Linked DNA regions of Sus scrofa. The protein of the gene in region 1 interacts with the protein of each later gene in a biochemical or structural test. Links are inferred from orthologs where the notes say so. Each region holds a gene or a part of one and is shown on either strand. Other genes may lie near its edges.

Region 1 (3,500 bases):
CTGTCAGCTGCCGGGCACCGACTTCATCGTGACAGCCTGCGATACCCGCAGGAAGAAATGTGGTACCACACTGGGGCTAGTGGTGTTGCAAGATCTTAAACGGGGGTGCTGAAACTTTGAGATTAAAGGCCCCTTTGCTCTTTTCAGCGTGGCCCTGACCCCTTCCTTCAGAGAGCGGGGACTGAGAGGAGGAGGTCTTGTGCAAGGCTAGTAGCTGAGGTGAAATGACTAGATCTTTAAAATTGCGATTGATCTCTGTATTTCATATAGCCCCCATCTCTGTTAGCAAATGTGAGCCAATAATTATTTGTTGACTAAGCCAGTGACTAGGAAGGACCTAAACAGAGACTAGTTGTTCCGAATCAAGTCCTCTTTGAAGTTCAACATTCCACGGCTTATATGAGATGCTGTGTCTTCCTGAGAATGACACTTGCCAGGAAATAGAATGTGCAGCTTCACTTTTCAGTGGAACTGAAATAACATAGTTTTGTTTTCTCGGCTGTGCCCATGGCACACCGAAGTTCCCCGACCAGGGATCGAACCCTTGCCAGAGCAGTTACCCAGGCCACAGTGACAGCACTGGATCCCCAACCTGCTGTGCCACAAGGGAACTCCTTCATTAGCGTTGGCAGTCACGATCACAGGAAATCATGATTATAAATACATGGGCAATTTGCATTGCTATGAGAAGTATAAATGTTACCTTAACTGAGCAACTGGCTGATTTTGTTGGACACATTTTGACATGCTCTCAAAACTCCTGGGCCCCTGTCTGGCCCTCTCTCCATTCCCCTAGGAGGGACCATTTTTGCTTGGTTTCCTCACTGCCCCTTTTGCTCTGCTCCTGGTCCAGCCCCAACCCCACTCCACCTCCACCCCGCCCTCTTCAAGGTCTCTGATCCTCTGAGAACTCCCAGCTGGCCAGGGCTTTGAGACCCTGCACTTTATACCCCTGCATGTCTGACACCTAGCACAATGCCCAGGTTAAAGTAGATGCTTGAGACCTTTAAACAGTTAAAGGTACCTTTTGAGGCTGGTGGGACTCTCTTTGAGAAGAACTTAAGGCTTTGTAAAGGATCCTTATCTTTGATTCACATATTTCTGTAGTATTCTGATGAAAAATGAGACCAAGGTACAGATCTGAAAAAATTAGATCTGATCACTGTTTTTCAAGGATTGAATATGACATGAACCTGTCTGAGTACTTTGTTAACAGTCAAATGCTAAATAAATATAAGCATTATGTTTGCAAGCAACGTGTGGTGCATGATGAAATACATGAAATCAAACTAAGGAAAAGTACACTTACGAGCTCTCCATCTTTGCCTCCAAAATCTAAATACAGCATCCTGATTCCATCATCTGAAGACATTTTCAGCTTTTCATAAGGAGCCTGTATGATTGTCTTGGGAAAGGCACCCTCCTGTGGTTCAGTGGTAACAGAAAATCCATTCTCATAATGGATGGTCAAACGGCACTCCTGGTTTTTGTAGGTACAAGCTGATAGAGACAGAGAAGGGACAAAATGTGAACAATGGAAGCCTGTCATTTCCCCAGGCACTTGACCTTCAAGTCTCCTCACTCTCAGGGCCCAGTCACAAACTTCTTTCTCAAGTTAAAAATTAATAATCAGGAGTTCCTGTTGTGGCTCAGTGGAAACAAATCTGACTAGTATCCATGAGGATGCGGGTTCTTCTCTCAGTGGGTCGGGGATCCAGCATTGCCGTGAGCTGTGGTATAGGTCGCAGATGCAGCTTGGATCTGGCGTTGCTGTGGCTGTGGCATAGACCAGCAGCTGCAGCTCCAACTGGACCCCTAACCTGGGAACTTCCATATGCCACGGGTGTGGCCATAAAAAAAACAAACAAAAAAAAACCCTTTAATCAAAAGAGTTCTGGAAAAGGTGATTAAGCATCAGGTTGGATTTTTTTGCCTCAGAAAACACCGCATTTAACAACCCCTGGCTAGTAAACTGCCTCTGGTCTTCATATGCCGCTGGAAACTCTTCAGGGAAACGAGGACATTTTCCTTGCTGGCTATGGGGCTCCAGAGGAGTGAAGGTAGTTGACTACTCTTTAAAGCTCAGCTCAGCTTTATACACCACACTGAATTTCACTTTACGACTCTTTGGAAGCAGGACCTTAGATTAATATAATAGGTTAAAAAAAAAAAAAAAAAAAGGAGTTCCTATCGTGGCCCAGCAGTTAACAAACCAGACTAGTATTCATGAAGATGGGGGTTCGGTCCCTGGCCTCGCTCAGTGGGTTAAGGATCCCGTGTTGCTGTGAGCTGTGGTTTAGGTCACAGACATGGCTCTGACCCCAAGTTGCTGTGGCTGTGGTGTAGACCAGCAGGTGTAGCTCTGATTTGACCCTAGCCTGGCAACTTCTGTATGCTGCATCTGTGGCCTATAAAGAAAAAAACAAAAAACAAAGCTCAGAGAGGTGAACATGTCATAACCCAGTGGTTTAGATTTCAAGAGTCAAGTTCTTTCCTCCACTCTGTCTCCTGCATCCTTCTCATACTCTGGTGCTCAGGCTAAGGAGGAAGGTGAAGAAGGACCTTGGCAGAGAGGCTCTCAGTAATAACTAGGGTGGGAGAGCCCTTCCGTCTGGGGGAAGAAATAGGGTGTCTCTCTGCTCACAGAATGAAGTGGGTAACTGGATACCCCTTCCTGCGACTTCTGCAGTCATCTTTTAACTTGTAAACTAAGGTTTGATATTTTGCAGAGGTGCATTCCCTAATAGGTCTATGAGCCCTTCTGGGCACAGCCCCATTGGCAACTCTTAAATAAGCCTCTCAGAAGAGCCCTGAATCTCCTCCACCCAGTCCAAGGACAACCAAAAGGTAACATAGCCTCGGCACTAATGTAGTTAATGGCTTCCCACCATGAATCCTCGATTTTGACACTTTTCATTTGTAACATCTGCAGAGTATGTGTGCACATGGGCTCTAAACATGTTTTCTTTACTCCCTTCCTCTGTGTTTGAACTTTAGAGCCAGGCCATCAGGCGGTCTGAATTAAATGATTGTGATGACTTTTCCTTCTAGTTGACCTCAAGTGGTATTTGTTGTGGCCTTTATATAATGGAATTGGTTATCTGAAGATATTCTTAATCTACACAGGAAAAATTGAAGACATTATCAAGTTAATTGAAGCGCTGATTAAAACATAAGCTTGTTTGCCCAACTCTCTGCGGGCATCTTTCCGTTTGAAACTGGGTTGCACCTTTGGTCATTTCCATAATTTCTTCACTCCCACCACCCAGCTAGCTCAGTCCACACAAACTCTTTGTTATTCTCCTCTGGCTGCTCTATCAACGGCCTCATTGTTTTCCTGATAAGTAGAGTTCAGCTTGTTGAGAAAAGGATTTTATGAAATTTGTGGAATGTAAACTAAGCCAAACCCCTTTGGTCATCTTCATTCTTTTCTAGAACACTCCTGAAGTTGTTGCAAGGAGTCTGGATTTCTCTGCTGTTTTGCACAGGACTTCATTAAA
Region 2 (3,266 bases), on another chromosome or scaffold:
CCCATATGCTTGCTTGCTGCTCCCCAAAGGGTAGGACAAGGGTCCCAGGCATGGGCTGATTCTACCTGGGCCAAGGCCACAGAGACTAGAGTCCTGGATGGTATGGGGCCTCTGGAGGGGACCCTGGCCTCCTGTACCAGGCCCCCTTGCTCTTGCAGCTGAGGGGGCTGGGCCACTCACCTCAGGTGCCACGAAGTTGGCAGTATAGCAAGGTGTCATGAGAAGCCCATTCTCAGCCCGCAGCTGCTTGGCAAAGCCAAAGTCACAGATACGCAGGCACTCAGGGTTTCCAGACTCGTCAACATACAGGATGTTGCTGGGCTTGAGGTCCCTGTGCACAACCTGGGGGCAGAAGGGTCAATTCTCAATGTTGGCAGGCTGCCAGCAGCCCAGGGCAACTGCCAGGGATGGGAGAGTTAGAAGATGGACACAGGGGTTGGGATGGAGGATCCAGAATCTAAAAGGAGAGGTAGGGGCTGAAAAGGGGCCTGAGCGCTACTGGTACTGCCAACCTGAAACCTTTAAGTCAATGTCTGTGAGGCAGTGCTAACTCCACCTGTCTACACCCAACTCCTCAAACCTGCCCATCACACAGTCTTACCCAATGGCAACTCCACCCTTCCCAATGCCTGAGCCAAAATCTTAAGAGTCACACTCCATTCCTCTTTTTTTCGCTCATATTCCTCAATCGACCCATCAGCAAGCTCTGCTGGCTCTACCATTAAAATATATCCAGGGGAGTTTCCTTTATGGCTCAGTGGTTAATGAACCTGTCTAGGATCCATGAGGATGCGGGTTCGATCCCTGCCCTTGTTCAGTGGGTTAAGGATCTGGTGTTGCCATGAGCTGTGGTGAGCATCGCAGACTCGGCTCAGATCCTGTGTTGCTGTGGCTCTGGCATAGATCAGCAACTGTAGCTCTGATTCCACCCCTAGCCTGGGAACCTCCATATGCCGCACATGCCGTGGGCGTGGCCCTAAAAAAAAAAAAAAAAAAAAATCCAGAGCCCAACCACTTCTTAGCATCTCTACTGGCAGCATCATTCTGACCCCAGCCTAACCACCATCCCTCCCCTGGATTACAGCATCCACCCCCTAACTGGTCTCCTTGCTCCCCACCTTGTCTTCCACAGCCTATTCTAAACAGAGCAGCCAGAGTGATCCTGTTAAATGTAAGTCAGGTCATGTCACCTCCAAGGGTTCCCCTCTTAAGAGGAAAAGTCTCTGCAATGGCTGGTGGCCCCACCTGATGAATCCCTGGCCCCTCGCCCACACCTCATGCACTCTCTGGTCCCTCCCACTCTTCTCCCTGGGCTGGCTTTGGCCACACCAGCCTCTTTGCTCTTCTTTCAATGTGCCAAGCTCCCTCCTGCCTCAGGGCCTTTGCACTTGCCATGCCCTCTTTCTGGAATATTCTTCTCTCAGGCACCTGCTGCCTCATTCTCTTCTTTTCTTTCAGGTTGCAGCTCAAATGTCACCTTACTAGTGAGGCCTTCCCTGGACCATTCTGTATAAAACAGCAATCACGGACCAGCACTCCTCAGTCCCCTCACTCTGCTTTCTCTTTATCCACAGCATTGACCACCATTGGATATTTACTTGTTTTCTGAATCCACCCACCGGAATGCAGACTCCGTGGGTGTTTTGCCCACTGCTGTATCCGGAAATTCAGGTTAGTTCCTAGCCCAGAGGAGGCATTCAATAAGAATCTGCTGAATGAATGGATGAATGACGCTTACTACTGAGGCCTTAAGCAAATGACTTTCCTCAGGCCCCATTTGATCATCTGGAACCAGAGGAGGCCAAGCCACCCTAATAACTTCTCATCCACCCCCTCTCCTTCTCCATGGTTCTATTCATAGTCACTCCTCTAACTCTCGCTAATTATTGACAACTCTCAGATCTCTGAGTCCGGGCTCCTATGGCTGCTTACCAGATGACAACCACTGAATATTCCATAGGCCCTCAAACCCAACACATCCCAGACTAAACTTGTCCTCACCCTTCTGTTCCTCCTCCCATGAGTTCACGGGGCCTCCCTGAGTGTGGTCAAAAACCTTCAGTGGCTCCCTACTACTTGCAGGATAAAGCCTGAGGTCCCCATCTGGATATGGAAGGCTTGGCGATCTGTTCCAGCCTCACTGTCCACTACAGTGCTCAAGTATCCCAAGCTCAGGCCGGGGGACAGGGGGGTTCCTTCAGCCATAAGTCACCATATCTATCGGGGGAAGCCCTCCTCACCCCAGCACCCAGCACAGGGCCTCACACAGAACAAGCACTTTGTGAACTTTGTGCACTGAACGAACGACTCACACCCTGAAACACGCAGAGACCTTGCAGGTTGGATCAGCTGAGTCTCACGTTAGCTGGCTTTATGAGATGGTTCTTGCATAGCCCCAGTGGAGACATGCCAACAGGCTCAGAGGGTAGCTGCTGCTCACTCCAGCTGACAGTCACCATGCCCAGGTTCCCAAAGACAAATGACCAAACCAAGCCAAATCCCAAACAAGAGGACACCCATGCTGTGCAGGCCAAACAAAATACGTGTGCAGGCCAAACGCAACCACTGAGTCAACAGGCCCTGCTGGCCTCTGGCAGAGCTGTGATTTCAGTCAGGAGGCAGAGAGGCCAGAGTGGGAATCCTGGCTTTACCAGCAGTAGATGTGCAATCTTGGCATGTCACTTAATCTCTCTAGCCCTTGGTTTTCTCACCTGTAAAATGGGGCTAAGAGTGCTCAGCGCTCAGGGTTGCAGGAAGGAGCACATGAGTTACGTACCAGAAATATGCAGCCCAAGGCTTGGAAAATGGAAGCTGCTGCCGTAGTAACCCCAGCCTCTCTGGGGCTGAACCCCACCAACATGCTGGATGTTAAGATACAGCCACTGCCTGTTAAGAATCCCTTAAAAATTAGCAGACCACTGCTGTATAGCCACAGGGAACTTTACCCAATCAGTTGTGATGGAACATCATGTAAGGTAATATGAGAAAAAGAACATAAATATATATAAAAAACTGGGTCACTCTGCTGTACAGCAGAAATTGACAAAACTCTGTAAATCAACCATAACAAAAATTTTTTAAAAATGAGAGGAAGAACCGGAAGGATAGGAAAATGAGAGGACAGATGCTGTCAAAGCAGCAACCAATCACACACAAGTTAGGGGCACAGACTCTGGGGCCAGTTTAACTATGAGACTTGTACTTAAGCTCCCAGAGCCTCAGTTTCCTCACTTACAAAATGGGCAAAATGATACCCTCTTGTCACA
Region 3 (4,285 bases), on another chromosome or scaffold:
TGACAGGGAGAAGGGCAGGAGAGCTCTTGGCTCCCTCCGAAAATCAGTACCATCAAGGCTCACATTTACGGAGCGCCCACACGTGTCAGGCACTGCACTGAGCCCTTTACAAACGTGTGCCATTTCATAAACCGCAGCACCCTACAGAACACACATCATGCTCAGTTCCTGAGGACGTGCAAGGAGGTAACCTGCTCAGGTGCATAGCTGGTCGATGCGGAGCCAGCGCTGGAACCCGCCTCCACCTGAGGAGGACAAAGCCTGCACCTGAGATACAGGGAGAGCAGGGGCTGCCCTCCTGGACCAGGAGCTGGCACTCAGGTGGGACGGGGGCAGGAAGGGAGCCATAATAAAGCAGTAGTGGTCCCTTTACCCCAACACCTGGGCTAAGCACTCTCATGTGCCAGCTTCTTTGATCCCCACCACCACCCCAAGAGGCAGGCAGGACCAACGGCTCCATTACAGAGACGAGGAAACTGAGGCTTGACGACGTACAGTAACATGCTCCAAGGTCACACAGCTGGCCAGTGACAGGACTAGGACCTGATCCCAGGTCTGCCTGACATGGGGTCTGCTCTGCACCCGGGAAGAGGAAGCTGAAGGCCCAGCTGCCCACTGCTGCCAAGGCACCGGCTTGCCAGTGCTCCCCCAGGGTGTCGGCTTTCCCCACCCGCCTGGTCAGGCCGCCCTGTGACAGCTGCCCAGCCTGGAGGAGATTAGTCACCCGAACACACCACCTGATGCGAGTGTCACTCAGAAAACAAAAGGCCACAGTCAGTGCGGGGGGGGGGGGGGTGATAGGCTCACCATGGGCAGCGGGGAGGGCTGGACCCTGCCTGCTGCCCCAGACGGATGCCCACAAGAGGGACCAGGAGGAAGAGGTGGCCCGTACCCTCCCTCACGACATGGGTGTGGGGGGGTGGGGGGGCAGCGTATAGGTGCTCCCCCCGTGCCCTGGCCTGCGCATGGCCCGAGCTCTCCTTGGCTGCCTCGATGCGTGGGCAGCTGGGCAGGTGAGGCTGGGCTGGGGTTGGGTGACCATGTGCAAAGCCCCTCCCTCACAGGCCTCAGTTTCCTCGTTTGCCCAGGGAGGCTGTTGGCTGGCTGAGTGGACCTTTTATGACAAGCTCTCCTAGGAGGCCCCCACGCCTCCATGCTCCCAACACTCCCTCCCCGGGCCCCATGCTTCCTGTTCCCCAGGTCGCCATAGAAACCTCTGTCCTCTGGTCAGCAGTTGCCTGACTCCTGACTTCCTATCTCTGCTGAGGCTTCTCCGGGGTCTGGTCAGAAGCCCAGCCTGGCCTCAGGCCTGTCCCAGCCTTTCCTCTGCCTGGGCCTGGAGTTTCTTCCCACAGCGCAGCTCGGAGGGGCGGCTCCTTCTCACCTCACACCCTCGCCTTCCACATACCACATACCACACGTGCAAAGGTCATCAGAGGAGGCCCCACAGGGTTCCGACACCAACGGCAGAGCAAAACGGCTGCCCCTCGGCCTCCTGGTGGGGGACTGGGGAAGCCTCTTACACCCGAAGGAGACAGGGCGGGAAAGGACTCATGGGGCCCGCTGATGGGAGCCTGGGGAGGACAGAGGATGCTATGGGGAGACACACATGCGGGCGGGGGGGTGGAGGGGTCTGGCCACACGCCCTCGATGAACAGCCGTGAGTGTGGCTGCAGCGGCAAGGCTAAGGCAGCTGCTGGGGTGAGGGGACACGAGGGCCCCAGCTTCATCAGCTACTGGCTAAAAGGACAGGGTTCCTGGCCTCCCAGCCCACCAGACTGTCTCACACCCCATTTCAGTTTCAAGTGGAAAAGCCTGCGGGCTTTGGACTCCTACATCTGCCATTGCTTTCCCCGGGCTGATCGACAAAGTTTCCTGAGTCTCAATTTTCTTACCTGCCAAATGGGGACGATACTACCTAGTTTGGAAGGTCTGACATAAGGGAGGTTCGGCTAAGACTCTGGTATAAAATACCTGACAATAGGTACCTGGCAGAGAGGAGGGGCACGGCAGAGCCCACGCCCACAGCAGCGCCAGGGTGTGCAGACTGTGCCACCTCTTGGGGTTTGTCTCTGCCCACAGTGGGGGTGGGGACCCAGAAAGGGAAGCAGGAGTACCCCGGACGGCCACCACCCACATGAGGAAGAGAGCCTGGCAGCCAGAGCCATCTGGGTATCTGCTCATGCTGAGAGGGCCCTCTGCCTCTGGCATCAGGCCTGGCTCCCAGGGACTTCTCTGCCTCCAGAGGTGCTCGCTCAGGTCACCTTGTGGGATTCGGCTGGAGTGCCCACCCCATGCTGTGGGCAGCGCCCCACACGCCCCTCTGCCTGGGAAATGATGCGTAGTGGTCAGGGCCTGGTGCTGCTTCCCCAGGGTCTGCTGGTCAGAAGCCACCTCTGGCTGCTTTGCTCCCCCTGCCCCAGGTCTGAGGGACGGCTGGAAGGGGGGGCCTGCCGGGGGGCTGGCGAGGCAGAGTTCCTAGGTCTCTACTCACTACAGGGGGCCTGCCATAACCAAACCCAACCAAACAAAACCACACTGCACAGTGGGGAGAGGTGGGCCAGAGCTGCACAGTGAAGGAGGTGACCAGGCCAGTAAGTGTTAACCTCGACGGGGTCTGCCTGGCTCGGGGTCCCGAGCTCGGTGGGCCTCCTCTTTCCCGGTCCCTTTCCATCAGCTTCAGGAGCCTCGTCTGGGGACGGTGGTGCCTGGGCCCACCCGGACCCCCTCCTCCCCAGACCCACCCAGACAGATGCAGGAGGGAGGAAGCAGAAGGCAAGGGAGGGTTGGGGGGAGCCCCTTTGACCTGATCTGGAAGGCAGGGCGGCAGGTGGGGGCTGGGGTCCCCGTGGGCGGGCGAGCCCCGGCTCTGGCTCCAGCTCCGGGCTGCTGGCCACTGGCTGAGCAAGTCCTAGTTTGGAGAGTGAGCCGCCGCTGTGGCTGCTCCTCTGCCCCCTCCCCCTCGCCACCCTCCTCCCCCCAGCCTGAGACAGCCGTTATGAAAATAACCCGATTGGTAACCGACTGCACTTCCTCTCCCAGCAGTGCAAGCAGGCGGCAGTGGGCGGGCAGCACACACCACACGCGCACGAGCCTTGCCTCCTGGCTTCTCTTCCCAAAGTCCTCAGAGCCAAGCGGAGCAGCAGCCCAGGAGCCTCCCCTCCACCTGGCACCTGTCACAGCACAGCCCCTGCCTCAGCGATGGGGGGGTGGGAACTATGGGGGTCACCCAACAGCCTGTCACACCCACTAGATAGGTTTTCCAGGGTCTGAGGAGAGCATGTGAGACAGCTAAGCCCGGGCTCCAGATAAAATAACCACAAAAATAAATATGTGGAGTGTTTCACAACTTACAAAGCACTTTTTCACAAGCACTGCCAGACAGGAGGCTTGTACTCCCCTATGCAACAGGCATTTCAGTCCCAGCTCAAACATCAAGGTCCTGAGGCTCGTGGAGGGCTGACTGCCCGCAGCTCAGAAGTGGCTGAGCAGAGCCTCTGGGTCCCCAGTTTCCCAGCCCTGCCAAGGGGGCCTGTCAGATCCAGGAGAGGCCAGCCCATGTCACCTCTAAACTGCCCAGAATGCCACCCCACAGTTCATACTCTTGGCCCCTAGGGTCTATCTAGCATGGCAGCTCTCAAACTTCCTGGGCCCAGGACCCCCTTACACTCTTTTTTTTATCATTGAAGATCCCAAAATAGTTTTGTTTGTTTGTTTTGGCCACACTCACAGTATATAGAAGATCCCGGTTGCACCTGTGCTGCTGCAGAGACAATAGCGGACAGGTAACCTGCTGCGCCACAGTGGGAACTCCCTCAAATGGTTTTGTTTGTGGGGGTTATAGCTATTAATATTTACCATTATGACAAATTAAAACTCAGAAATGTCTAAAATACTATTAATTTGTTTAAAAACCATAAAGCCATTATCTATTAATATAAATAACATACTTTTATGAAAAAACAAACTATACCTTCTGAAACAATAAAGCAGCGAGGAGAGTGGGATGTTTTAATTTCTGTGAATCTCTAACGTCTGGCTTAACAGAAGATAGCTGGATTCTAATATTTGCCTCTGCAGTCAATCTGTGGTGATGTGCTGTTTTGGTTGAAGTATATGAAGAAAATTCTGCTTCACACTGACAAGTAGTTAGAAAAGGAAGTTTTGTTTTTGTTTTTTTAGGGCCGCACCCACAGCATATGGAGGTTCCCAGACAAGGGGTCGAATGGAGCTGTAGCCACCAGTCTACACCACAGCCACCGCAATGCCAGATCCGAGCTGTGTC
Region 4 (3,500 bases), on another chromosome or scaffold:
CAGGCAACCATTTAAATTAAAAATGGAATATTTAATAAGTACTGCATGGATAAGGAATTACTTTATTCACACAAACTTGAACAGATCCAGAATGTACATGATAACACTCCACTTGTGCCGCTTAAAGTGAATTGCTTTCTAGGCTTATAGATTTTCAGTAACTTGAGGTTTTTTTTGTTATTTTTTCATTAAGAAAAAAGTATTCCTACTAATGGTAGCAATAGTAGCTGATAATACTGACTTTATAGCACAGACTACATTCCAAATTAAATGGAAAAATGCTTCCCTTAAAAATTCCATAATTTAATAAATCTTGGTGCCAAGACATCCTTATTTGAATATAAATACCTGAGTTAGATTCAGAATGAAAAGAATGTATATATTTATGTGTGACTGGGTCACTTTGTTGTACAGTAGAAAACTGACAGAACACTGTAAACCAGCTATAACGGAAAAAATAAAAATCATTTTTAAAAAAGAATGAAGTGAATAGCTTAAGATGTTGAGTCAGTAAAATGACTAAAAATTCAGTCCTAATTATACTTGGTTTTAAGTGACTATCACACAAAGAAAGGGCTTTAATATACTAAGACACAGTGGCATAGAAGAATTGTTTTCTTAAATCAAAATTCTATTTAGTCCAATGAATCTTACCTCCTGCGTACATAACAGCCAGCATAATCGATGATATCCATGCTATTTCACTGTAGGTTGTGTTGAATATTTGCTGAATTTCTTTGAAGAAGACTGTGACAGCTTTTGGAAATGCATATGAAAATCCAATGGAGATAAAAGATGCTCCAACCACCACCCAGCCCCATCCTCCATCAGGAGGTGGGTGTGGTGGTGGGGAGCCTGCTGCTGGTGGTGGCATTTCTACTCCTCTATTTGAAATTCAAGAAACCTATTTAAAAGATGAAATGATGATTTAAACCATATTTCCATTTTCATAGATCACTCTTAACATTTACCAAAATAATATTTTCCAGTTGTAATACAACTATATAATTTTTCACAAATTTTTTAATACTCTCGTACTTATATAAAGTTATCAGAAAATTTACCCCCAAATTGGAGTGAGGTACGCAACTTTGTTATGGGCTAAAAACTGAAAGCATTTGTTTATGGAAGCAGAAATTACTCAATGAGAAGTTAAGTTCCAACCAAAAAATAAAAGGTAATCTCAATCAGATCTCTAAGATAAGTGATAAGATCATCACTTAATATAGGATAATTTCTTAATCTAAAACATTCAAGATTTTTAACAAAGGTTAAAAGGTCCATATATTAAATCTGATGAACTTTAGAGCATTAAATAGTAGGTGTATTTTAGAATTTCTCCATTTTGTGTGTGTGTGTGTGTGTGTGTGTAGGTTGGATCTGCGGCATATGGAGGTTCCCAGGCTAGGGGTTGAATCGGAGCTACAGCCGCTGGCCTACGCCACACCCACAGCAATGCAGGATCCGAGCTGCATCTGTAACCGATACCATAGCTCACAGCAATGCTGCTGGATCCTTAACCCACTGAGCGAGGCTAGGGATGGAACCCACAACCTCATGGTTACTAGTCAGATTTGTTTCCGCTGTGCCACAATGTGAACTCTCTCTACTTTTAATAATTGAGAATACTTAATATTTTAGCAGAGATCTTTTTTCTCAGCTTGTAGGATTAGAAATTGTATGGTTCTAAGCAATTAATTATAATGTGCTTTCAAAATTGGCACTGTCTATGATTATACATGAATGATACATTTTATGAAGTCTTCATAGCAATGAAATGCTCCCAATCAATTGGATGGTATACTACTTTTACTAAAAGAAAGGGACTTTTTGGATATGCTTAGGAACACAACTGTTAGCTTTATGGTATAGAGTTCCCACCCCGTTGTGGAAGAAATGATCACATATACCTTAATACAACTGAAATTAAATTGAAAATATCTTGGTTCCCTAACATCAGCGTTTCTTTGTAGAATGAGGCTGCTTGTTTGGCTTTTAGCTGTAATCTCCACTATTTCTCAGTATCTTCTTTTTACTACTCTCATTCTATCTGTGACTATTTTCCAACGGAAATAGTGAAAAAAGAAAATATTTTTCTGCTGGTAAGATAATGTTGAAAATAAAAGCTAAATTTGCCACTAAATCAGAAAACCTACCAAAAAAACTACACGCTACCTATGAAAACAAACACAGGGGTTTAATTTTTGTTTAATGTCAAATGGTATCTACAATATTTTCAGTGTTCTCCATGCCCTTTTTAGATCTTTAGTGAAAATATGCTCTGAAGTTTTCTAATTCGTCCGTAGTTATACCCAAGGACTTTGCTTTCAGAAATTCAAAAAGGCAAAATGATAAAATAAAATAAGAGCACTGTTTTCCTAGGCGATGAGTCGCAGATTAGAAATAACAATGTGGGCAACTATTACCCTCACTTTTTTTTTGAATGTTAATTTTGACAAATATACTTTGGTAAATATTCTACAGATGTTAGCTGTTTAAATTGATCCCAAATACCATACCTTGTCAAAGAATGATTTTGAAAAGATTTGTATGTCTTCAGTATATTTACAGTCAGCTTTTGTAATACTTTCTGCTTTCTTGGAAACAATAAAAATTATCTATGTCATCTGTCTATTAAATTTGGCTTCTCTTTGGTCATCAGTAAATCCAGCACAGTGGATTTATAGCATATGACCACTGGAAATAACATCTTTTAAAAAGTAGAATACTTAAGGAACAAAGAAAAGGAAAGAGATAAATTATAAACACTGGTTAAACCAGCTGAAAAGAGCACTCGGTCTTTGAAAGTTGTCTAAATAATCTGAATTTACATATTATTGAATTTCATTATTGTATTTTTAAACTAGCCAAATGTCTTATTGCTTGAAAATAAAATAAATCTAGAAGAATACTAAAGAATGCCAGAGAGCACTTATGTGGTAACTACTTTTTTTGTTGTATTATCCAAGTGTAAAAATCATCATAGGGTTTTAAGTCCTTATTGTATAATTTTCCTGCTTTTGCACAAAGAAAATGAAACCACCTTTCATTGTTAATTCATAATATTAAACTATTGTAGCTTTTATCATATCTATATTCCAAATACTTAGAAATATAACCAGAGAATTTATTTTTCAGTTATTTCGAAAATCACAAATAACACATTTCTAAATAATCTTAAAATCATTATATCTATTGATTGAACTTTACTAATATTCAAATCATGCTATTACTATTAATACTGAAATGTACTAATGAGCTAGGTTGGTAGTGGGATTTCCATTTAACAGACAGGAATCTATCCTCATAGAAAAATGAAGGGGCTTTTTAAAAAAGCATTACATGATGGGGTCATTTTTTTCTCAGTACTTTCTGTGTTTTATTATTTTTTCATAGTTCACCAGTTATCTCAGTATGTGATCGTTCATTCTCTTTTCCCAGCATATTTACTTGATTTTAGTTATAATGGCATCCTCGAGATTGTGAGTCACCTCTCATAT
Region 5 (4,273 bases), on another chromosome or scaffold:
CAAGTTAAACTAAACTTTTCAACAGAAAGATAAAAAATAAAGCCATCTCTGACTATGAGACTCAAAATCTACTTGTAACCCAACTCAGACAAAAACCTTTACAATCGGGTTAAAAATGTCTACTGGAAACATCAACATAACATTAACCTCCAGCTATGATGGCAGGCATCATTATAATATGGATTACAGCTCTACCAGCCCAGGGATACTGATTTTAATGTTGCCCAAAAGATAAAGAATTAATCAGCAACTCAGAGGGAGATGTTGCCTAAAAATGAACAATTTAACAGAGAAAATTCCATTGTCTTTACATTTGCATCCTTGGTCACCCACTATCAAAAACCCACTATGGCACCAGATAAATTGTGTGTGGTTAAAGAGACAAAATGTTCTTTTTTTCTACAGGCTGTTATGGGAAACAGAAAAAGGCTGACTATGAATGGGTTATGTTTTAGTTCCACGGTGGACATGAATTATGATAATTTAGACATTCTGGTGGTTAAACCAAAGAGGCAGGAAAAACACGGCTTACAAGTCCCAGCAAAAGTTAAATTTGTGGCATCACAGCTGAAAGACAGGGTCATGGAAAGCGACCTGAAATTTATTTCTGGACTTTCCTGCCTCCACTAAAATCGATGACACTATTTCCCATCTCTTATTGTCAAATCACAACAGTCCGGAAGCCTGGACTGAATTCACTTGGCAGGTAACAGGAGCAACCCTAGGAGGAAGTCCTGAAGGATGTCAGATACCATATTTCCTTTACTCCCACATACTTTTCATCTTAATACCGCCAGGATATATTTACCATGAGCTCTGACACCCAATAAGCATTCTGGTGGACACAAACTGGCATACTCTACTGAAGGTCCCTTGCGAGATCTTTAAGAAGCTTAGATGGGTAAAACATTCAGACTACCACTATAATGAACATCTCTGGATGGCTCGTAAATTCTTTCATTCCCAGCAATCAAGAAGCAGCTGTTAAAATCCTGGAATCCTCAGAGTAGCAGATCTTAAATACCTCCAAGCTGGCCAGGAAGTTTCCCAACTGCTTTCTTCTCCTTCCCCTCCCCCACCCTAGGAGTGCCAGCCTGGCAGGACTAAAGATGACCCAGGAAGGAAAAAGAGAGAGAGTAGCGGACCTGGTGAAAGCAGAGATACAGACTGCCTTCATGGCTGCTACACAGAAATACCAACTCTCTGTACCCACCAACCCGGTTTCACCTTTCCTCTCCCATCTCTACAAACAGATTAACTTCTGCAGCCTGAGGGTCTGGCATTTCAAGTTAACGACCTCAGCAGTCCTAAACCCAATTCCTCAAAGATCCTAAACCAGGCACTTCCTTTCCTTGCCAGAGTGGGAGGCCCATCCCACGGGAAGATTCAGCTTCCTTTATCTTGCAACCTTCCCAGACTTCGATTCTTCTAGGGTCAAGTTCAAGATGAAGGTGCCCTCCTAACCTCCCCGAGTTTATTCCAGCAAGGAAGGGCGCTACCGAGACGAGTACCATCCCTCGAGGCACCGGGATCTGGGGCTGCCAAGGGTGGGCTGGAGGGAGTTGGTACGGGAAAGACTGTCACGGAGCCGGGTGACCTCCGAACCCCCGGGCGCAGCGCCGTATTTCTACCTGGCCACCGCCGCATTTCCTCCCGGAGCCTCACACAATAAGTGAAGTAAGTTTTGAGAACGCCGGTCTAGCGACGTCTCTGTCGGCAAACACCGCACACAATGCCTTAGGGCTTCCTTCCTCGCCAGCCGTTCCGGAAAGCTCCAGCGCCAAAGCCGGGAGCCCCTCACACCCACAACGTGGCGCGCCCGCACCCCAAAGTCCTGCAGGAAGAACTTGCCCCCGATATATGTTTCCCAAAAGAAGTAAGCACGCTTCACTCTCCAAGAACGGGAGGGTACATAACCTTAATACAATTCCAACTCTCCTTCAATCTCTAATCCTAATTCACCTACCCCTTCCCCCAAAAAACGTGGATATACTCATCGCAATGTTCTTGGAAGCGAAGCAATACTTTCAACTCTGCTGGGGTTTAAGTTCACGCGTCAACTTCGCGACCCGCGCTCACCTACACTCCCGGGGCGCCCTGGACCCCACGGTGGCAGGCGCACCTCTCCCCCGCCTCTCCTGCCCCAGGTACCAGGCGCAGCCAGGCCCTTGCCAAGCCCAGAGGCTACAGAGGAGGCGGGAAGGGGGGCGCGGAGACGCGCCGGGCGGGGGTGATCCCGAAACTCGAGCGTGCCGCCGCGCGTTCCCAGTGCCCCCGAACCCCAGCTCCACCCGGGGCCCGCTCGGTCCGTCGCAGTGGGGAAGCTAAAAGAAGGCACCGATTCTCCAGAGACGCCAGGACCAAGGCCCGGAGCGCCCAACATGTCCGTGCCTATCCCCGGAAAGCTCCCGGGTGTGCCCAGCGAAGGGGGGCAGGGAGGCTCCAGAAACTTTCCCACATGCCTTTCCACTCTCCCCATCACCCTCTCCTCTTCCCGGGACCCCCAGCTCCCCTCTGCACTGCAGCAGCTGGTCCTGCCCCGGACGCGCGGAGCCCGGCGGCGGCGCCAGAGCGGCGGGAGTTACCTGCAGGGAAAGTTTCCAGCTCCTCCGCGCTGCTCCCCACCCCCAGGGCCGGGCCTCGGGGCGCGGCCAGCTCTGCGCTCCGCGGCTACCTCTCCTCCGACTCCCAAGGCGGCCGCTGCTCCCGCAGCTGCCACAGCTAAGGCTGCGCTCCCGCCCGTCCCCCCTCCTCGCACAGCCCACAGCCGGGCCTCATTGGCAGCGCGAATCCCCGCCCTTGCGCGTGTTCCCGAAGGCACCTTCCTCTCGCGCGCCCGCCCGGGCCGCGCCTCCCGCGCCCCTCCCAGCCCTGGGCTGCGGCAGCTCCTGGGACCCGCTGGGGTGCGGTGCGCGAACTTTCTATAGGGTCCCCCCACCCCCGACCTTCCCCCAGTGGGGCTAGGCCCCCGATGCTTCGCTTAGGCCCCTCCAGGATTGGATCAAGATGGGTGATAATCTTTTTTTCAACCTCTACAAATCAGTGAAGTGGCCCGGCCTCCCCCCTCCTTGCTGCTTTTTGAAAGCAGCGGAGGAGGACATATGGGAGCAATTAACCAAGCTGAAATTTTGGTGGATGCTTTAGGGTGACTTGTGTGGCTTTCTTGAATTTTCTCTGCCTCACTTAACTACACACCACACACACGTGCGCGCGCGCGCTCAAACATTCACTTTCTGGAGCAAGATTGAGTTCAGGCAGATGGAAGGTGTAAGGGGCATCTCGCCTGCTGTGTCTTTTTCTTTCCCAAATGCGAATTAGGGACTTTCAGGAGCCCGTGATTGCCTCCTGCGCCCCTGGGACCAGGTCCCAGAGCCTCCAATCGCTCTGGGGTGGCCCTGTGTTGTTCTGTGCTGTATTTACGCAGGGCCAACATCGTGCTTGTATCGGCGGGAGGAGGGAGGTATGGAGGTAGGAGAAACACAAAGATGCTATTATTGTTTCGGTTGGCAGCAGTAAATTAAATTACCAAGTTTCTAAAATGTATTGTTATACCCTAGCAGAGGAAAACCAGGATAGGGCCCAAAGATTCTGGAGTCCCCCCAAGATCCCAGGCAAGCAATTCAGGCTGGGGGGCTCGGCCCAGTCCACACCCGAAGCCCTTTAAATCAGCCTTGGTCACGGAGGGATCAGCTAAGACTGTTGCTGCCTTGCATGGCCTGTGGGAATCGTGCACCGGTCACCCAGATAATGTGTCTGGAGCAGGGAATACAGAAGTTGCTATAAATGGATTTATTGGCAACCCCTAACCTTATGTGGCAAACCCGCCTTTAAAGACAACTGTGTTTTAATCAAGTTCCCCCATAAAAACTTCAACCTCACGCAGAGCTTCCCAATATAAAGATTCCTAGTAAGAGGAGAGTCCATATGTAAAGTTCCTGTGAAAAGGGACAGGAAGTAAAATGACATACAATCTCTTTACATAAATAAAAGATGACTGAAATTTGCTGGCTTTTTCACCCACAGTTTTAAAGGCTTGATTATTACTGTCCTGATATTTGAACAGTAAACATATCAGCAGCCTTGAAGTCGTCCTGAAACAAAGCAGGATATGAATATTTAAAACATAAACTTACTAAACCAGAAAAGCTATTGACTTATTTCTTCACTCTGAAATATCTCATTACTGAAAAATATGGTAATGCATTTTATTTAATTTCTCTTGAAATGAAATACAAACAAGTTACCAATCTTTCAACAATAGATTAAAAAGCAG
Region 6 (3,500 bases), on another chromosome or scaffold:
CACACGTATGCACATGCGCACGTGTGTACTATCTGGAACATATGCCATCACCTTCATTCTCACTGTTGAACTGAGGCAAAGTACTGAAAGATTGAAGTTTCATTCTTTCCCTGTGGTGACAGAATACTTTTTGGAACCAAGTTTTTGCCTCTTAAAACTTTATTAAACATTACCTTGTGAGTCACGATAAATTGGACAGAACTGAGGCCCTTATTACTGTAACTGTTTTAGAATGGTTGTTTTGGTTTTCTTCTTGCACATGTGCAATCTTAGCAGTCCATGGGGAAAAGGGGAAAAGGTTTGGTTTTCACAATGAACTTTAAGAGTTGAAAATCAAAAGCCTAAAACTGATTTTCCAATGGGAAAGAATGGTGTTAAATTGTCTTTGGAATTTCGAAGGTCAGAGTTAAATCGCTCTACATCTCCTCACTCAATGAGAATGTGGTCCACAGAAATAATCACCACTGAACCTGGCACACACTCACCACCTCCTTTTTGGTCCTTCTTGATTTATTATTCATCTGTGTCACTTAGACACAAAAGGCACTTCAAGGTGGGGCTGGATAAAATCTAGTTCCAAGTCAGGGTTGCCTTCTGGCACGCCGTGCTCACCTCTCTTCTCTCTGGTTTTCCTTTACCCTTTGACTGCAAGTGTTTCCACTTAACCAGCCATCATAATAAACTGTGTACCCGTTTGTCTCTGTGTGGGCATGGCTACATATTACTATGTATTTATGGAGTAATGCTTTATGTTTTTGGCTACATGCAAACATTTCAGACATTTAGGTTGGTTCCATGTCTTGGCCATTATAAGGAGGGCTGCTATGAACACTGAAGTTCATGAGTCTTTTCAAACTATTGTTTTCTCTGGATATATGCCCAGGAGTGGGAATGCAGGATTATATGGAAACTCTATTTTTAGTTTTGTAAGGAACTACAACCTAAATGTCCATCAACAGATGAACAAATAAAGGAGATATGGTATATTATTTACATACAATGAAATATTACTCAGCCATAAAAAAGAATGAAATTTTGCCATTTGCAGCCATACAGATGTACCTAGAAATTATCATGCTTAAATTCGGTAAGCCAAAGACAAATATCATACAATATCTCTTATATGTGGAATCTTAAAAAAAAAAAGACACAAATCAACTTATTTATAAGCCAGAAATTGATCCACAGACATAGAAAACAAATTTGTAGTTACCAAAGGGGAAAGTGGGGGGAGATAAATTAGGAGGTTGGGGTTAACACACATACACTATTGTATATAAAACAGATAACCAACAAAGACCTACTGTATAGCACAGTGTTTTATAATAACCAACAAGGGAAAAGAATCTGAAAAAGAATATATGTATGTGTATGTGTGTGTGTGTATCTGAATCACGGTGCTATACACATGAAACTAACTTAATATTGTCAATCAGTTCTACTTCAATAAAATTTTTAAAATTTTTAAAAAATTAAAAAGCAAAAGTAGAGGATTTTTCTTCCCTTCTTTCCCCCCCCACCTTCTCTTACAAACAGTGACAATGGAATTTGTTCTGAAGAATTTCCCTTCCTTTTAAAGGAAACCTGGATTATGGAACCCCATTATACTTTTTTCATGTGTCAGTAGCTCTGGCTTGAATGGTGGGATCCGTCCATCAGCCACATTTGCTGAGGGTGCACTGCAGATGGAGCAAAATGTTCAAATGAAAACCACTCACCCTCAATGAAGCCATCAGTTAAACAGCTGCAGCCCCCTCCTCCTCCTCCTCACTCTGGAGCTATTTCTTCCTGTCAGGTAGCTAAGATGAAGTATAGGACTGTTGCCATCTTGATGCTCCCGCCACGGAGCTAAGATGGCTGCCAGGGACCCTTCTAGAGTCCCAAGTTCAAGGGCTGGGTAATTCCCAAGTCTTGCTGTTGGTAGAGCTCCCCAAATCCTGGAGGTCAATCTGATGTAGGAGGGGGCGCCCAGGCATCTGGACCTAGGGCACCTTAAGGAGGGACAAGCCCTAAAGCTGGGGGCTTACGACTCCTACTGGGTGTTCCAGTCTTAGTTCTCTGTGCCCTGAGAGACCTCGGGAAAAGTCAGGCAGTAAAAACTCAGCCATGAAGGCTGATGCCCACGCCCTTCACAATAAGCAAATCACTGCTCCAGAAGCATGTACCTGACATTGCCAAGCGACATGCCAAAAAGGGGTGGAAAAAAAAAATCAACACTGTCATTTAAAAAGAAATTAGACCATATCAGAAGTATTTGAGGGAGTTCCCATTGTGGCTCAACGGGTGAAGAACCCAACTAGTCTCCATGAGGATGTGGGTTCAATCCCTGGCCTTGCTCAGTGGGTGAAGGAGCTGGCGTTGCTGCAAGCTGCGGTGTAGGTCACGGATGCGGCTCAGAGCCGGGGTTGCCATGGCTGTGGTGGAGGCTGTGGCTCTGATTCGACCTTAGCCTGGGAACTTCCATAGGTACAGGTGGGGCCCTAAAAAGAAAAAAAAAAATGTGTTTGAAGGCTTTTGTGTTAAATTTGGACAGGCGATCTTTTCATGGGTACAATTTTAACTTTGTAAAAAGTATGCTTATTATTGCTGTCAGGTGGGAAGGGGAAGGGAGGTCAGCGCTCCACGAGCTGGGAAAGAATACCTGTCTCCTGGGCCCCTGTGCTTTTCTTGTTGGCCATGTTAAATATGGACCTTCTGGAATCCACGAGCAGCCTGTAGTATCCAGCCGTTAAGCAGGCCAGGTTCATGGCATCGGAAGATTCCATCAGGAGCGTGATGGGCTACACAAAAGAGAACTTTCAGTTAAAGCCAACCCTGCTTAATATTCCTCCCTCAAGTGACTACAATGTAGGCTTATGAAATGTGAATAAATGAAGTCATGGGAAGTCCTTCCATTGCACCAACACAAATGGTGATACCATTTTGAAAGCCTAGAGATTCTGAATCTTTGCCAAGTCACAGGCGATTAAACAAACAAACAAACAGACAAAAGCACAAATGCTAGTTTTGTTCCAAACAGCTAACATTTTAAAAAGTCACAGTTAAGGGGTCAGTTACCAGATGGGAGCCAGCAATCTGAAAAAGAACAGGAAGATTAAATTTGGGTTTGTGGTGAAACTCAGTGTTGAAGTAAAAATCAAGTGGAAATTACTGCTAAGACTGAATGAAAAGTACCAAAGCGGTCCAGGAAAAGGATGCTTCTAAAAGGAATCAAAAATTCACAGGAGGGCAAAACAGACACGGGAGTTGAGAAAAGGCCTTGCTAAAACTTTCTGGAAACAATGAAATGATAGCGTCCAATTATCACATAATTGGACCCGGATCTTGGCCACATAGGGAGGTGGTTATTCTCATTGGCTTCGGAAGGGTGAATGAGCTGGTGTGTTCTTACTGAAAGAGAGAGAAAGTGAGAGAGAAGTAAGGAAGCAACAGAGAAGCAGACATCTGGAGAGGCAGAGAAACAGTGAGAGGACACCGGCCAGGACAATGGCCTTGGCTGA
Region 7 (3,500 bases), on another chromosome or scaffold:
AAAAATTCAAATTTATCAACAGAATCAAAATTTTTAACCAAGATTTTCTTCTTGCCATATTTTAGGAAATTATAAATTTGGAATTTGGCAACATAATAGTTCAAAAATATTATTCATCTGGTTATGATTCCATGCATAACTTTATTGACTGTAATTTTGTTTGGACCAATTGTAGGCTCCCAAATTTCCTATTCTGGCAAACCCAGGTGAATAAGCAGAAACGTAAACAGGATGAGAGGATTGCTATCTTTATTCTAACTAAAAATCCTGCCTATTGCTTTATTTTTAAACTGCCACTAACATGTTTAAATTATAATTGCATCTTCTCAATGAGCACAGTTCCTCATTATTGTAACTGGCAGGGGGCCTTGGCATTTGAGTCATCATTTCATTGTGTCTATTTCTTACCATGGTATACAAATTAAATAGACATTCAAGCCAGATGAAATATAGGAGGAAAAATCTGAAGCAGTAACTTCAAATTGAATTAATTTTTCTCAAATCTACAAAATGTATAAAGCAATTAACAGTTGGTAATAATATATTCTACTTCAGGCACATTTTCAAAAACATTAACTTCAGTTCTCAGGCCAAATCTCTCCAAGCCGAATATTGTAGTTTTGTAAAACAAAACCAACAGCTTTAATATTTCCTAAATTGAATGATAGAATAATCCTAGTGTATTCTGTATTCTCTCAAAGAATGAACATATTCTCAAGAAATGTGTTTTTATCAATACTAAAGTTTAATCAGAAGAGAAGTCTTAAGATAGTGACTTAATTTTTAACTTTTAGAAAATACATTATTCTGCACCTTAAGAAAAAAAAGGATATAAACCATATGTTCCTAGATTATGAAATTTAGAGCATAACATATTCAAAGTATAGCTAGTGTTTTACCCACATTTATTTAGGTTATCCTTCCCACAATGTTGCAATCAGTCTTACCATTTCTGTCACAGTTTGACTTAAATCAATGGAAATATTCATGGATTTACAGTATCAGGTTGTTAGTGAGTCCTATCATTTTTATAATTACTATGGCTAGTAAAAATACATTTCTTCTTTTTATATGATGAAATAAATTAATGAAAGGGATTATGCAAATGGCTGGGAATAAATCCAAATCTTTTTTGATATGTCCAGGGGCCAGTAATTTTCTAAATGGCACACTAAGCTCTCTTGCCTAAATAATTACAAGTACTGCCAGCATGTTATCTACTGAAACAATTATGTAATCTCCTAGTTCCCACCACCCACATCAAGTCACTTACCTTTTCTTTATTCTCAGTGCCAGAAGCCTCAGGCTTGGTCCTGATCACAAACGGAGTAGACAGTCGCAGCAGGACCCTTTCAAAGGTGGCATTAATCTTTGGAGAAACGATCTCGAAGCAGTCCTCAAACATAAGCACTTTGTGAGTGTCACATCGGAGCTGTTTCCTTAGTCCTTCTCCCAGCTGAAGGACTGACATGTGGGGGTCAAACATCAAGTGGAAAGGGAAGGCTCTGCAGAAGGTGTTGATGCTAATTCTCAGGTCTGCAGGAACTTGGGAGGTTCCCTGTGGAAGGTTCTTCGTGATATTAGTATTTTCACATTGTTTGATAAGGAAAGAAAGACAGCTACAGTTGCCTGGGTTTGAACCATCTGAGCACAGTTTCTCATTTGCAACCTGATCAACTTCTACATCCAGCCGATAGATCTTCTTTCCTGCAGCTTTAATCATCCCAAGCATTGCAAATCCCACAATATGGTGAGGGTGGAAGTAGTGAAGCATAAGAGTACCTTCAGGGAGCTCTTTGCATAGGAATGACGGAGACTCCAGAGTGGCCTGTTTTCCAAAAGAAGTTCTAATGTGTTCCAATAAAGCATCAAAGCCATTAAAAAAGTCCTGCAACGTGCCACCTACAGCTCGAAGAACTCTTTCATTCTCATCGAAGCATATATTAAAGAACTCCTCACCAAATCTTTCTTGAATTTCCTCAAACTTCAAACCTAGAGACAAATGGAACCAAAAGTTAATGAAGTACAGCATAAGTAATTGAATTTATAGCTTTTGTAATGTTTATCAAATGAGGTAGCTAGTGAGTGCAGCAAGAGAGGTATTTCCCTTTGAGAACCTCAATTACTCAAATAGTTTAATTCATATATTTTGAGTTAAAGAAAGAAAAATTTAGTATGTTCATGATGCTTTTGAGATGTCAATAAGCATAAACTTTGGCTGTTGTTGTTTGTTTTTAATAAACTTTATTTTTAGAACAGTTTTAGATTCATAGCAAAACTGACCAGAATATAAAGATATTTTCCAAGTACCCCCTGTATCCCACACACACTACCCCTCATAACTATCGATATTGTGCATCAGTGTTATGTTAGTTACAACCAATGAACCTACACTGACATATCAATATCACCCAATAGTGTTTATTCTTGGTGTTGAGCATCTGAGTTTTGACAGATGTACAATAACATGTGTTCACCATTATAGTCTCTGTGCTCACTATTATAGTATCATACAGAGTATTTTTTCTGCCCTCAAAATTCTTTGTGCTCTACTCTACCTATGCATTTCTCCTTTCCCTCAACCCCTGAAGCACTAACTTTTTAAATGCTAAGCTAGCTATACTCTTTTCTTTTCAATACCCTATTCCATGTGTTGTAATTATCATGAATAATATATCTTCCTTAATGATTTCCCTCATCTTTAAAGAATTTGTGAGGCAACTATAAAATTGTCTCCATAATCATGTCCATTCAATATTACTATTTTGTTTACCAAAATTCATTTGTTAAGTGGGAAATATCAACCAGAGAGGGAATCTATAGTACATGGGCAGAGAAAGGTATCAGGTTATCTCATGTAAACAGAAGGACTTAAATTAGTAATCTCAGAGAAAGGCATGAAGGTCAGCTAGACCCCAGGAAGAGAAAAACAAAACAAGGAAATAAAACTGTGAAATGATTTGCATTCATTCTTTCACCTACAAAAATAAGAGAAAATAAAAGTGGAGTAAGAATCTGAACAGACAGAGTTAAAGGCCATTGTTCAGTTTTCTCAGTTCATATTCTTTCCCAAATGCCATAGTAAAAGGAAATCTACTTTATAACAATGGATTATAATAATTTATAACAAATATGCATACAACATGTTATATGATAATTAGAAGCAGAATAACCTGTGATCTAGTTAGATCAACACTTGAAGATGATTAAAGGAAAAATACAGAGGAAACATATTGGTCCAAAGAGGAAGAATGTATACAGCACAGATAAAAGAGTTGAGTCGGTATCCTAAGAAACTTCTACGTTAACACATGCTAGAGCTTCTCCTTTGACTTCAGCTGAAATCAAAACATCTATTCTACATATTCATATTTTATTGTCTCACCTATCCCATCTTATAAGGAAGTCCTAAACGTTAGGACAGAAAAAAAAAAAAAAAAACAGGTCCCTTTGCTAGTGTCCCATTAGAATGCAAAGCAGTCTAGGCTGTCTTTAAGACT

Evidence for each region.
Region 2: the proteins of SNTB1 (region 1) and RPS6KA1 interact in a test that uses a peptide from one of them, tested with the Homo sapiens proteins (2 studies listed by BioGRID and IntAct, with this or other methods). The link is inferred for Sus scrofa from reciprocal best matches to the Homo sapiens genes SNTB1 and RPS6KA1.
Region 3: the proteins of SNTB1 (region 1) and DGKZ form a complex in vitro, tested with the Homo sapiens proteins (2 studies listed by BioGRID and IntAct, with this or other methods). The link is inferred for Sus scrofa from reciprocal best matches to the Homo sapiens genes SNTB1 and DGKZ.
Region 4: the proteins of SNTB1 (region 1) and SLC16A7 interact in a test that uses a peptide from one of them, tested with the Homo sapiens proteins (2 studies listed by IntAct, with this or other methods). The link is inferred for Sus scrofa from reciprocal best matches to the Homo sapiens genes SNTB1 and SLC16A7.
Region 5: the proteins of SNTB1 (region 1) and TANC1 interact in a test that uses a peptide from one of them, tested with the Homo sapiens proteins (2 studies listed by IntAct, with this or other methods). The link is inferred for Sus scrofa from reciprocal best matches to the Homo sapiens genes SNTB1 and TANC1.
Region 6: the proteins of SNTB1 (region 1) and FRMPD4 interact in a test that uses a peptide from one of them, tested with the Homo sapiens proteins (2 studies listed by IntAct, with this or other methods). The link is inferred for Sus scrofa from reciprocal best matches to the Homo sapiens genes SNTB1 and FRMPD4.
Region 7: the proteins of SNTB1 (region 1) and GUCY1A2 interact in a test that uses a peptide from one of them, tested with the Homo sapiens proteins (2 studies listed by IntAct, with this or other methods). The link is inferred for Sus scrofa from reciprocal best matches to the Homo sapiens genes SNTB1 and GUCY1A2.

The regions. Positions count from the first base shown.
Region 1 is NC_010446.5:18,515,756-18,519,255, reverse strand, and holds part of SNTB1 (beta-1-syntrophin), read right to left. Parts: intron 1,501-3,500; coding exon 1,310-1,500; intron 1-1,309. UniProt on the Homo sapiens protein: Adapter protein that binds to and probably organizes the subcellular localization of a variety of membrane proteins. May link various receptors to the actin cytoskeleton and the dystrophin glycoprotein complex.
Region 2 is NC_010448.4:83,941,157-83,944,422, reverse strand, and holds part of RPS6KA1 (ribosomal protein S6 kinase alpha-1), read right to left. Parts: intron 343-3,266; coding exon 181-342; intron 1-180. UniProt on the Homo sapiens protein: Serine/threonine-protein kinase that acts downstream of ERK (MAPK1/ERK2 and MAPK3/ERK1) signaling and mediates mitogenic and stress-induced activation of the transcription factors CREB1, ETV1/ER81 and NR4A1/NUR77, regulates translation through RPS6 and EIF4B phosphorylation, and mediates cellular proliferation, survival, and differentiation by modulating mTOR signaling and repressing pro-apoptotic function of BAD and DAPK1.
Region 3 is NC_010444.4:16,148,771-16,153,055, forward strand, and holds the start of DGKZ (diacylglycerol kinase zeta), read right to left. Parts: upstream 2,801-4,285; 5' UTR 1-2,800. UniProt on the Homo sapiens protein: Diacylglycerol kinase that converts diacylglycerol/DAG into phosphatidic acid/phosphatidate/PA and regulates the respective levels of these two bioactive lipids.
Region 4 is NC_010447.5:24,810,509-24,814,008, reverse strand, and holds part of SLC16A7 (monocarboxylate transporter 2), read right to left. Parts: intron 905-3,500; 5' UTR 875-904; coding exon 655-874; intron 1-654. UniProt on the Homo sapiens protein: Proton-coupled monocarboxylate symporter. Catalyzes the rapid transport across the plasma membrane of monocarboxylates such as L-lactate, pyruvate and ketone bodies, acetoacetate, beta-hydroxybutyrate and acetate.
Region 5 is NC_010457.5:65,918,695-65,922,967, reverse strand, and holds the start of TANC1 (protein TANC1), read right to left. Parts: upstream 2,801-4,273; 5' UTR 2,586-2,800; intron 1-2,585. UniProt on the Homo sapiens protein: May be a scaffold component in the postsynaptic density.
Region 6 is NC_010461.5:9,426,039-9,429,538, reverse strand, and holds part of FRMPD4 (FERM and PDZ domain-containing protein 4), read right to left. Parts: intron 2,781-3,500; coding exon 2,642-2,780; intron 1-2,641. UniProt on the Homo sapiens protein: Positive regulator of dendritic spine morphogenesis and density. Required for the maintenance of excitatory synaptic transmission. Binds phosphatidylinositol 4,5-bisphosphate.
Region 7 is NC_010451.4:62,206,081-62,209,580, reverse strand, and holds part of GUCY1A2 (guanylate cyclase soluble subunit alpha-2), read right to left. Parts: intron 1,993-3,500; coding exon 1,274-1,992; intron 1-1,273. UniProt on the Homo sapiens protein: Has guanylyl cyclase on binding to the beta-1 subunit. Isoform 2 acts as a negative regulator of guanylyl cyclase activity as it forms non-functional heterodimers with the beta subunits.